2 linked regions of the Canis lupus familiaris genome follow. The protein of the gene in region 1 purifies or fractionates together with the protein of each later gene. This does not show direct contact. Links are inferred from orthologs where the notes say so. Each region holds a gene or a part of one and is shown on either strand. Other genes may lie near its edges.

Region 1 (4,957 bases):
AAGTGCTAAAAAAAAAAAAAAAAAAAAGTAACTGTCAAATCAGAATCATACATCCAGTTCCAAGTAAAGATGAAATAGAGACATTTTTGGAGAAATAAAACCTAAGAGGATTTGTAGCCAGCCACCTACTATAAAAAATGTTATAGGAAGGTTTTTTAGGCTCAAGGGATGCAACACTCAACGGAAACCTGAATCATTAGGTAGGCAGAGCACCAGAAGTGATAAGATGTGGGTGACTACAAGGGCTTGTGTTCTTCAAAATCAAATTACAAGATCTCAGACAAACCAAATCAATAAACATTCTACAAAATAAACTATATTTTTGTTAAACAATGTTAAAATCAAAAATGACAAAGGCTAAGGATCTAATTTAAAAGACTAAGAGGGGATCCCTGGGTGGCTCAGCGGTTTGGCGCCTGCCTTTGGCCCAGGGCGCAATCCTGGAGTCCCGGAATCGAGTCTTGCGTCGGGCTCCCACCATGGAGCCTGCTCCTCCCTCTGCCTGTGTGTGTCTCTGCCTCTCTCTATCATAAATAAATAAATAAATCTTTAAAAAAATATAATAAAATAAAAATAAAAGACTAAGGAGAGAGTGTCTAGATGACTGCCTTCAGCTCAGGTCATGATCCTGGAGCTTTGGGATAGAGCCCCCATCAGGCTCCCTGCTCAGGGGGGAACCTGCTCCTCCCTCTCCCTGCTGCTCCTCCTGCTTGTTCTCTGTCAAATAAATAAATAAAATCTTAAAAAAAAAAAAAAAAGAATTAAATGACTAAAGAGATGTGTCACCTAATACACTGCGTGATCCTGGACTAGGTGCTACACAGAAAAAAATTTGCCATAAACCATATTTTGGGGATGATCAATCAAAATCAGAGTAAGGACTATAGAACAGTATAATGACATCAATATCAATGTCATTAACATCAATTTCCTGATGTTAATATTTGCCCTTGTTATATGTAAGGAGACATCCTTGCTGTTAGGAAATACACAATGAAATATTTAGGGATAAAGGGGCATCGTGTCTGCAATTTACCTCCAAATGGAAAACAGTGCACATGTTAACAGAATCTACATAAAGGGCTTACAGAAGTTCTTTGTACCATGCCCACAACATTTCTCTGAATTTGAAATTATTTCAAAATAAAAAAGTTATAAGCACTTTTCTTCTGTGTGAATCCCACCACCCTCCACTCCATCTTACCCATCTGGCACTGATACATATTTCGGGGACTCTGGTTGTGATCGGAGAAGGGGATGAAGTTGGCAATCACACTCAGCAGGCTGTGAGGGAAGAGCTCCTGGTGAGTGGTAACTCCAGCCAAAACCTCATCCTCAAAGATGGCAATGTTCATGAAGATCTGGAAGAGAGGAAGGGTGAGGAAGTTCAAGGCACAGAATAACTCACTGCTAACATATGAACTCATCCTCCCTCTGAGTTTAGGACTCAAAGATGTGAATGCAAACGTTCCCACTCCATATCATGAACACTGATGGGATCCACTGGGAAGCACGGAGAAGCTTCCAGGTCAGAAATACTGTTTGCCTGATGCATTTCATTCTAAATCTACCCTGGTCCAACTGTGAAGGACAGGAAGACAGACATTTTGAGGTAGCACAAAGCCCACAGTTTTGCAACTGCAAAGATGTAGGCAAATATTAAGTCTAATGGAATGTTCCCACCTCACCACCTGACTCAGAGTCAGGTGCAAAGGAGCTGGGCGGGATGAGAAGGCAGGTAATGTGACCACCAACTCTCTTTCTCGATATGTAAGCACAGTGAAGGAACATGTGAAAACTGCTTTGTTCTGGTAGGAGGCAGAAAGTAAATTCTGATTTTTTTCAAATGCCCAATTGTTATTAAAGAACAACAACACTTTCTTTATAAAAAGAAGTTTTCTGGTTTTTTTTTTTGTTGTTGTTGTTGTTTTGAGAGAGAGAAACAGGTGCTCATGCAAGCAGGCAGAGGGACAGAGGGAAAGAGAGAATGTGAAGCAGACTTCCTGCTGAGTGCAGAGCCCGACTTAGGGTTCGATCCCATGACCCTGAGATCATGACCTGAGCAGAAATCAAGAGTTGGACACTTAACTGACTGAGCCACCCAGGTACCCCGATAACACTTTTAAAAAAGAGTGGTTATTAAGTCTCCGAAAGTTGTGTACTGTAACAGGAGCATATACAGGCACCAATCACAATGTTCTACATACCTGTTCCATAGTTCCAATTAGTTCTTCTTTGCCTAATTCCAAGTTCTGCACAGGCCGTACCAATCTACAAGGAGTGGTAAACAGGAACAATCCTGGGTATAAACTTGGTTTTCCTGTCATAGGGATAAGGGCCACTTCCATCCAGGGAGGAATTCTTTTTTCTTTTAATACCTGTTTTCAACAGAGTTCAATTAAGAAGAAGTGATGTGTTTCAAATTTATCCTCCTGTCACCTAGGAGGTGGGTAGAATGGGAAAGGAGGCCAAATATAAAAAGCAGCATCAAGAAATTAAATTAGTGGGACACCTGGGTGGCTCAGTGGTTGATCATTTGCGTTCAGCTCAGACCGTGATCCCGGAGGTCCTGGAATCGAGTCCCATATCAGGCTCCTTGCATGGAGCCTGCTTTCCCTGTCTCTGCCTCTCTCGTGAATAAAAAAATAAAATCTTGGGATCCCTGGGTGGCGCAGCGGTTTGGCGCCTGCCTTTGGCCCAGGGCGCGATCCTGGAGACCCGGGATCAAATCCCACGTCGGGCTCTCCGGTGCATGGAGCCTGCTTCTCCCTCTGCCTATGTCTCTGCCTCTCTCTCTCCCTGTGACTATCATAAATAAATAAAAATGTTAAAAAAAATAAATAAATAAAATCTTAAAGAAAAAATTTAAATCAGTTATGCCAGTAATAACTTTGTGCCCTTCCAGTCTCATCACCACACAGAATGCTACTCACCTCATATCCAGAATTGGCCAAAGCCCTACTTTCTGGGGGGTGGGTGGTACCTCACTATGTGGCAAACTGGTAAAGGGGAGCCTAGAGGAAAGGTAAACCAAGAAGGTGCACGTGGATGCATAAGTAAAACTTTGTCCTCTGATGTCTAGAATGTAGTATATTACTGGTTTTATTTTAAACTGTACTCAATGAAAAGGCTCTTCTACCTGGAAATTAAAAAACAAAACAACAAAACTTCTACTAACCAACTCCAGGGTAAAATATAAACACACATTACAAAAATGTGAAAAAAAAATAACAAGACCTATATATCAGAACTTCTGGGGATTCACAGCTAAACAAGTCATCAACAAAAACAGATGGATTAAATTCTTAACATAAAAGCTAAAAAAAACCCAAACAAACAGAACACACATACGTAAAACCCCCACAAGTTAACAAAGATAAAACCTGAACTTAATGAGGTACAGTACCGAAAAAGGCTCAAAGCAACAAATCAAAATTCTTGGTACTTTAAAAAAAAAAACAAACCAACAAATCCCCCTTGTTTAACTTAGTCAAGAAAAAAAGGAGTGGGGGGGGGGCAGACAAATGTACTGAGTAAGAAATGACAACAGCAAAAAAACTACTGAAACTAAAATTTAAAATTATAAGTATACTCTGTACAACTCCAAGAAATCAAAATAAAATGGGTAAAATACAGGCTACCCAAACAGACCTCATTAGAAGTAGAAAACCTCTTAAACATGGTTATGATGGTAAATTCTGTTATGTAAATTTATTTATTTTTAAGATTTTATTTATTTATTCACGAGAGACACACAGAAAGAGGCAGAAATATAGGCAGAGGGAGAAGCAGGCTCCATGCGGGGAGCCCGATACAGAAACTCGATCCTAGGACCCCAGGATCATGACCTGAGCCAAAGGTAGACACTCAACCACTGAGCCACCCAGGGACCCCACCATTAGTATTTTCAAAACAAAAAAAGTTAAGATTTCTTAGATTTCTTAGACTAGGGCCTCGGTGAAACTACCAAAAAAAAAAAAAAAAAAAAAAAAAAAAAAAAAAAAAAAATGCATGCAGGTCAAAGCATTTGCCCCAGAGTCCGACTTCTGAGGTCAGCCCAAGACAAGATTCTGCAATTCTGGGGAATGTGCAGGCACTTAGGGAATTAGCTTCTGGCCTCCAGACCCCCTGACCACTCTAGACGGCCCTGGGGCTATCTCAACAACCAGAAAAGGACTGACGACTTAAGATGAAGGGATAGAACAATTCACAAAGACTCAACCTTAAAATGTCGGAGAGACTCTGCAATGCTAGGAGCAAGCTCCTTATCCACCCAGCCAACCATGACGCCATCTAGCAGGACAGGGTAGCACTCGCTGTAGGGTCGATGTGGAGCTCCATCAACTGGAGTGACCCCTGGTGGAAGGGAACAAACAGAAGGTTCACATCTGAACACTTTCTTATATTAAAAACTCCCTCCAGGTGGGCTCAACAGCCACTTCATCATTTTAGACATCTAGTTATCTTGTCTCTACACCAGAACATTTTTGTATCGCTTGAGTGTTTCTAAATCATTTCAACAAGGACACACAAGAAATGAATGACTCTGTCCATCTGAGGGGAGAGCAGCTGGGGGCCAGGGATCTAAGAGAGGCTTTCCACTGCATACCTTCTACATTTTGACAAACAGATTAACTCTTCCCCCAAAACCTAACTAACTACATTTAATCCTCATTATTTGTGGATTCCACACCTGTGAATTTGCCCTATTTGCTAAAATGTATTTGTAACCGCAGCATTAATACTAGTGCTTTTGTGGTCATTCCAGGACATTCAGCCAAAGCAGAGAGAGTGGCTAGAAGTCCCCAGGAACAAAGGCTGTGTCTCTGATTAACACCAGGGTACAGACTAACAACACCTTTTTAACTGTTTTCCTGCAAAAGGACCTTCTTTCCTACTTAGAGGTCCAGGAGTTAAGCCACCAGATGCAGGGAGAGCGACTCAAAATGCTTTTTCC
Region 2 (5,431 bases), on another chromosome or scaffold:
TCTCCAGCTTAGATGTTTTTCATGGCCTCCAACTCACATATTCACCATCTACCACAGTCAAAATGGAACTTTTGATTCATTACCTTTTCCACTTTCCAACCTATTTTTCCCCGTAAGCCTCCCATTTGGCCCCAAACCGAAGTTGAAGTCCTGTTTCCTCACCTTCCACCACCAGTATCTGAGGACTACCAATTCTGTACCAATTCGGTTTTTTTTTTTTTAAAGATTTTATTTATTTATTCATGAGAATACACAGAGAGGAGAGAGAGAGGCAGAGACACAGGCAGAGGGAGAAGCAGGCTCCATGCAGGGAGCCCGACGTGGGACTCGACCCCGGGTGTCCAGGAAGACGCCCTGGGCTGAAGGTGGCACTAAACCGCTGAGCCACCCGGGCTGCCCCTGTACCAATTCAGTTCTAAAATATATTTCAAATCAACCCTTTTGTCCATCACTAGCTTGCTGCCCTTCTAGGCCAATGACACAGTTCCTCTCGATAATTCATCCCTCCACACTGTCATCAAGAGTATTCAGATGTCATTCCCATTGTACTTAAAATCCAAACCCTTACCACCCCAACTCTTCTTCCCACCATATCCATAGCCTAGGCCCTTCTCTTCCTTGCTTACCATGCTGCATATAAGCAAATTTTCAATATCTTTAATTTCTCAGACCACAGGTTTTCAGCTTCAGGACCTTTACAAAGCTATCCTGCCAGAATACTTCCTCTCCGTTGGGCAGTTAGCTCCTTCTCTTCCTGTAATCTCTGGATGAACCTCCCTGACTTTCATACCAAAAGCAATTCCCCTCTCATGTTTTCTTTCTTGATCCTTCCTATGTTTTCAAAGAATTACAACTTTAAAAAAATAATTTCAATCCTATTATAATGTATGTTCTATGAGAACAAGACCCATGTCTCATCCAATAGTGTTCTATCCAGGGCCTGGTATGTACCAGGTGCTCCATAAATACAGAAATATATTTATCCAAACATGTTGACTGAGTATAGGAAATGTAGTTTCTATGGCAGAATAGTAGAAAGAGGTCTGATTGGAGTGAATAAAAGGCTACGTGCCATAACTACCAACATGGATTTAGCCAGTATTTTCTAATTGCCTACTACCCATCAGGCATCGGGCTGCAAGTCAGTATAGTGGGTAGACAACATAAGCACTAACAACAGCATAGTAAATCCAAGACCATGAAACACAGGAGTAAAATGAAAGTACAGGCAAGTCCCCAAACCAGGGTGGGAGTCTTGACCTCTAAGTTCTCACCTACCCTAGAGTGTAGAAGAGTAAGGGTGTTCCAAGAATATGTACAGCAAAAACAAAGACCCCAAAGCACAGAGTGCTGGGAGTGAGGTGCTCAGGTCAAAGGTTAACGAGATTTAGGGTGAATTAAGAGACAAGTTGATGTAGGACAGCTAGCAGACAAGGCTGATGAGATTAACAGGACACCTTGAAGAGGTTCACTAGTATTTTAAGGTAAAAAAAAAAAAAAAAAATCACTTTCCCAACTTGGAAATTTTTCTCTTCATCCTTATTGTAACCCTGGGCTATATACTTAGATACGCACCTAAGGACTGAAGATGTTCCCTGATCATCCCAGTTTTCTTCTTTTACAGTATAAACTCTCGACCTACTCAGGTCATTTCTGACAAAATATTTTATTAGTGTCCTGAAATTAAAGCAGTAAACTGGCATCCATCCTATATATGCAACCACAAAGGTAGAACTAGATCCTAACTCTCCTGTGAATCCAAAATTCTCACAATTCTTTCAAATTATTCCCCACGCTTGAACCCAGCAGTCATAGTAAAAGATGCAAATTCTCTCATGAATTACTAAAAAATATCTAGCAAGAAGCTAAATCCTCCTCCCACTTCCACCTTTCTTTTTTAAACCCACCACAGTCTGTGCTCACGCTCTATTGCATCTCTCCTCCTTCCCCAATCATAGCCACAAGTGCACATTCTTTTGAATTCTCTTGATCAAAGTCTTTGTCTAGGTCTCTAATATTCTCCTAGCTTCCTTACGTTCACTGTTGGCTCAATTAAAAGAAAAAAAAACAAACCAAAAAACCCCCTAAAACAGTCAATCTACCAGATGAAGCAACAGAAACCACTCAAATTAGTTTAAATAAAAGAGGGAATTTATTAGATGAGTACAAAGGTTCTTGCAGGGATTCCAGCAGCTGTAATGGGTAATAGCTAGAAGCACGCCTTTGTGAAGGGCAGATGGAGTTGTAATCACAAACTTCTACTTCTGGTTTTGCAAGATCACGAAGAGAATATCCTAGAGGATAGTCCTCCCCGTATAGTGCATAAGGGACTAGAATGTGGATTCATTTCTGCTTGCTTTTTGATCCTTATATTCCTTTATGCTGGCCTCAAACTTGTCAAGCACATGTTGGCAGACATTCATGAGCTCATTCAAGCCTCTCTGAAATGGCTCAACAGCTGGAAGAGCACCTCGAGTCTGAATGCGTAAATTAATTTTGCTCTCTGAAGGATGGGTTGTAGTGTAACCACAAAATTCCACTTCCGGGTTCTTCATGATCATGTAACGAAGAGAATTTCCTAGGGTATGGTCCTCTTCGTGCAATACAAATGTCACACAGTGTCTATCTGTTCCAGCTGCCTGGACCATTTCCAGGGCTGTCTTCCTCTCGCCTTCAGCCATTGAGGTCTTCAATCCAGATATTTTTCTACACACATATTTTTTATAAAAATGAGATCATACTGAATATGGTTTGGTAACTAGCTTTTTTTTCATTTACTATATCACAATCGCAACACATTACTGCACTCCAATTACACTCAACTATTTTGTATTAACCCCTCATTTTCCTGCCTCCACATATTCTATCAATAAACACTTAATTATTGCCTCCAGTTTCTCCCTACCCCATTTGACACCGTCCACATGGCCACGAGGGCACAAACGTAAATGTTAAATATTTAAAGCTAGAATTTTCTCTTGGTAGAGTCACAAGAAAGGAACAGGATTAGAGTAGGGTGGGCTCTGCTGGAGAATGAAAGGGTATTTAAAGGCACACAAAAACACATCTTTTCAAAAATAGAGACTGCAGATTATCACCGTGCAGGCCCCACTATGGTTTCCATCTGCAGGAGATAAACTAGAGAGGAAGTTCTGAGAAGTGTCAATCAAGCAGGAGGGAGACGAGGGCTGAGGGCACCCAGGAGCGCTTCATTAGCTGCCTACACAGAGCTCTAAGTTGGGCCGCAGTCACAGGGGCTTAGGCCTGGCTGGACGCCCCAACACGAGCACTCGGCGAACACTGGCCCGGGCGCGGCCTTCCGTTAGTTTTACTTAGTCCTGCTGTTCTCCCCGGGGTGGGCGGTGTGGGGACTTAACTCCGGCCTCGTAACTTGCGCTCCCTCCGGGCCGTCTAATTGTACGGGGCGCCTCTATCAGACACGTCCGTGCGTCCTCCCCTCCCTTCCCAGCAGGGGCCCTCTCCCGGCTCAGGCGCCCCCCTCCCTCTCCACCTCCCTCTCCTCCCGCGTCCTCCCGGCCGGGCCCCCGCTGCCCCCGCTGCCCCCGCTGCCGCCCCGGCCCCGCAGGCGGACGCCCCTCGGCTCCCCGCTCCCGGCGCAGGGCGCGGCCCGCTCCGCCCACCCGCCTCCTCGGCCGTTACCTCTCCAGCTCCTGGTCCTCTTCCATCGCGGGGACGGCTTCCGGGATCCTCAGGTGGTGCGGGCAGAGCGGAGGCGCTAAGCCATAGCGCGAGGCACGCGGGCGGAGCAGGAAGGAAGGAACGACGGACGGAAGGAGCCGGGGACGGAAGGAGGGAGGAGGAGCCGCAGCGGCGCGGCGCGGCGAGGCCCAGCCGCTGGGCGGGGCGTGTACGTTCCGCCCGCAGGCCCCGCCCACAGGCCCAGCTCCCCGCGCGGGGAGGGCGGCTGCGAGGCCCGGCCGGCTCACCTGGAGCTCCAGGGGCCAGTCCGCCCGCTGCCCTAGCGGGGACAGGGGGGCCGCCCTCCCGTCCCACCTCGAGGGCGAGACCCGCCTGTGGGCGCACCTTCGGCCAGGTGTTGGCGGAGGGGGCGGGGCCTTACCTGCCGCCCCAAGCCACCGTCCTTCTTAGGGCGGAATGGGGCCTCTTTCAGACTTGCTGCTTGACCCGTGGGGCAGGGTGTCACTCCCTGGCGGGACCCCAAGCCTGACGGGGGTGGGGGGGTGGTGTTCGGGGGGATGACAGGTGCAAACTACAGGTGATCAGTACACCTTGATGAATTTCACGACAGACGAGGATGAGTTGAAGGTTGTGTGTGTCATCCGGGATCTTGCAGCCGCACACCTCAAACGGGTCCAAAAAAGCCTTCGTTTCTATCTTTAGGGGGAGGAGCGAGAGTTTGGAAGGAAACTGCTCTTCTCCCCCTTGCTCCCCCGTGCTTTCCCTCAGGGTCTTCTCTGCACCTGGAATACGTACACCCTCTCTTGCTCCGGATTTCCTTTTCCTTTTCCCCTTTCGGTTCAAACCTCACCTGCGGAACCTCCCTCTCACCTTTGTTCCCAGGTGCCCCTGCCCGCGCCTCGGCAACCTTTCGCCACCCGCACCCGCTCCCCGCCCTTTTCCCTCCGTCCCCCCTCCTCCCTTCCTCCACCTCCTACCCCCGTCGCCCTTCTCAGCCCGGTCAGTCCCGGTCCCTCGCACCTTGCCCCAGAGTCCTCTCACCCCAGCACACCTATATTCCTGCTTTCCTCGCCACCTGTGCTCGTACCCACACCCCGGTTCCCCCAGATGGTCACTGCCTCCCCAGCTGTTCCACTCTGCTCGCGGCGGTCGGCGGTGAGCGCGGATGCACTTTCCGAGCGTGTCTCCAGCGGGGGGATCAGGCGGGCGGGGGCAGCCGAGACCGAGTGGGGGAGGGCGGGCGGCCAGGGGCGGAGTGGGCTCACTCTAACCCGGGAGTGACGGCCCCGGCCTGGCCCGCCCCCCGCGCGCTTCCATAGGCGGAGCCGCGCTCTGGCCCGCCCCCTGCCCGCCCTGCGCCGCAGCCGGTTGGCCCAGCTGCTTGTCGGGTTGGGCTGCTGGGCCCTGGCGCTCGCCCCCGGGAAGGCAGCAGGGGCGGTTGAGAAGTGAAGTCTTGGCCAGAGTTTGCTTCTTGCCAGGAAATCCGCGGTGGCGGCGGCGGCGGCGGCGGTTCCCGGCGGAGCGGAGGCCGGCGGGCCGCGGAGAGCGGAGCTGGCGCTTGGCTGCGGCGCCGGGAGCCGGTGCGCGCCCCGGGCGGCCGCGCTTTCCCAGTGAGTAACTTTGCCCCGGCCGCCTGGCCCCGCGCCCTGCCCGGGTGCCGGGCGGCCGCCTCAGGTGCGGGCGTCGGCGGGCTGTGGGGGCAGAGCCGCGCCCGGGGAGGCGGCGACCCCGCGGCTCTGCGCCCCGCTCGCCGCGCTGTGGGGGACGTGGA

The links. Proteins that work in one complex are often made in the same cells at the same time.
Region 2: the proteins of POLR1B (region 1) and POLR1D purify together in Homo sapiens (affinity purification with mass spectrometry; 5 studies listed by BioGRID and IntAct, with this or other methods). This does not show direct contact. The link is inferred for Canis lupus familiaris from reciprocal best matches to the Homo sapiens genes POLR1B and POLR1D.

The regions. Positions count from the first base shown.
Region 1 is NC_049238.1:36,968,588-36,973,544, reverse strand, and holds part of POLR1B (DNA-directed RNA polymerase I subunit RPA2), read right to left. Parts: intron 4,357-4,957; coding exon 4,223-4,356; intron 2,379-4,222; coding exon 2,208-2,378; intron 1,362-2,207; coding exon 1,205-1,361; intron 1-1,204. UniProt on the Homo sapiens protein: Catalytic core component of RNA polymerase I (Pol I), a DNA-dependent RNA polymerase which synthesizes ribosomal RNA precursors using the four ribonucleoside triphosphates as substrates.
Region 2 is NC_049246.1:12,055,392-12,060,822, forward strand, and holds the start of POLR1D (protein POLR1D), read right to left. Parts: upstream 3,785-5,431; 5' UTR 3,687-3,784; coding exon 3,661-3,686; intron 2,707-3,660; coding exon of another isoform or gene 2,331-2,706; exon of another isoform or gene 2,130-2,330; intron 1-2,129. Other genes in the region: DNA-directed RNA polymerases I and III subunit RPAC2, read right to left, coding at 2,331-2,706, 3,661-3,686.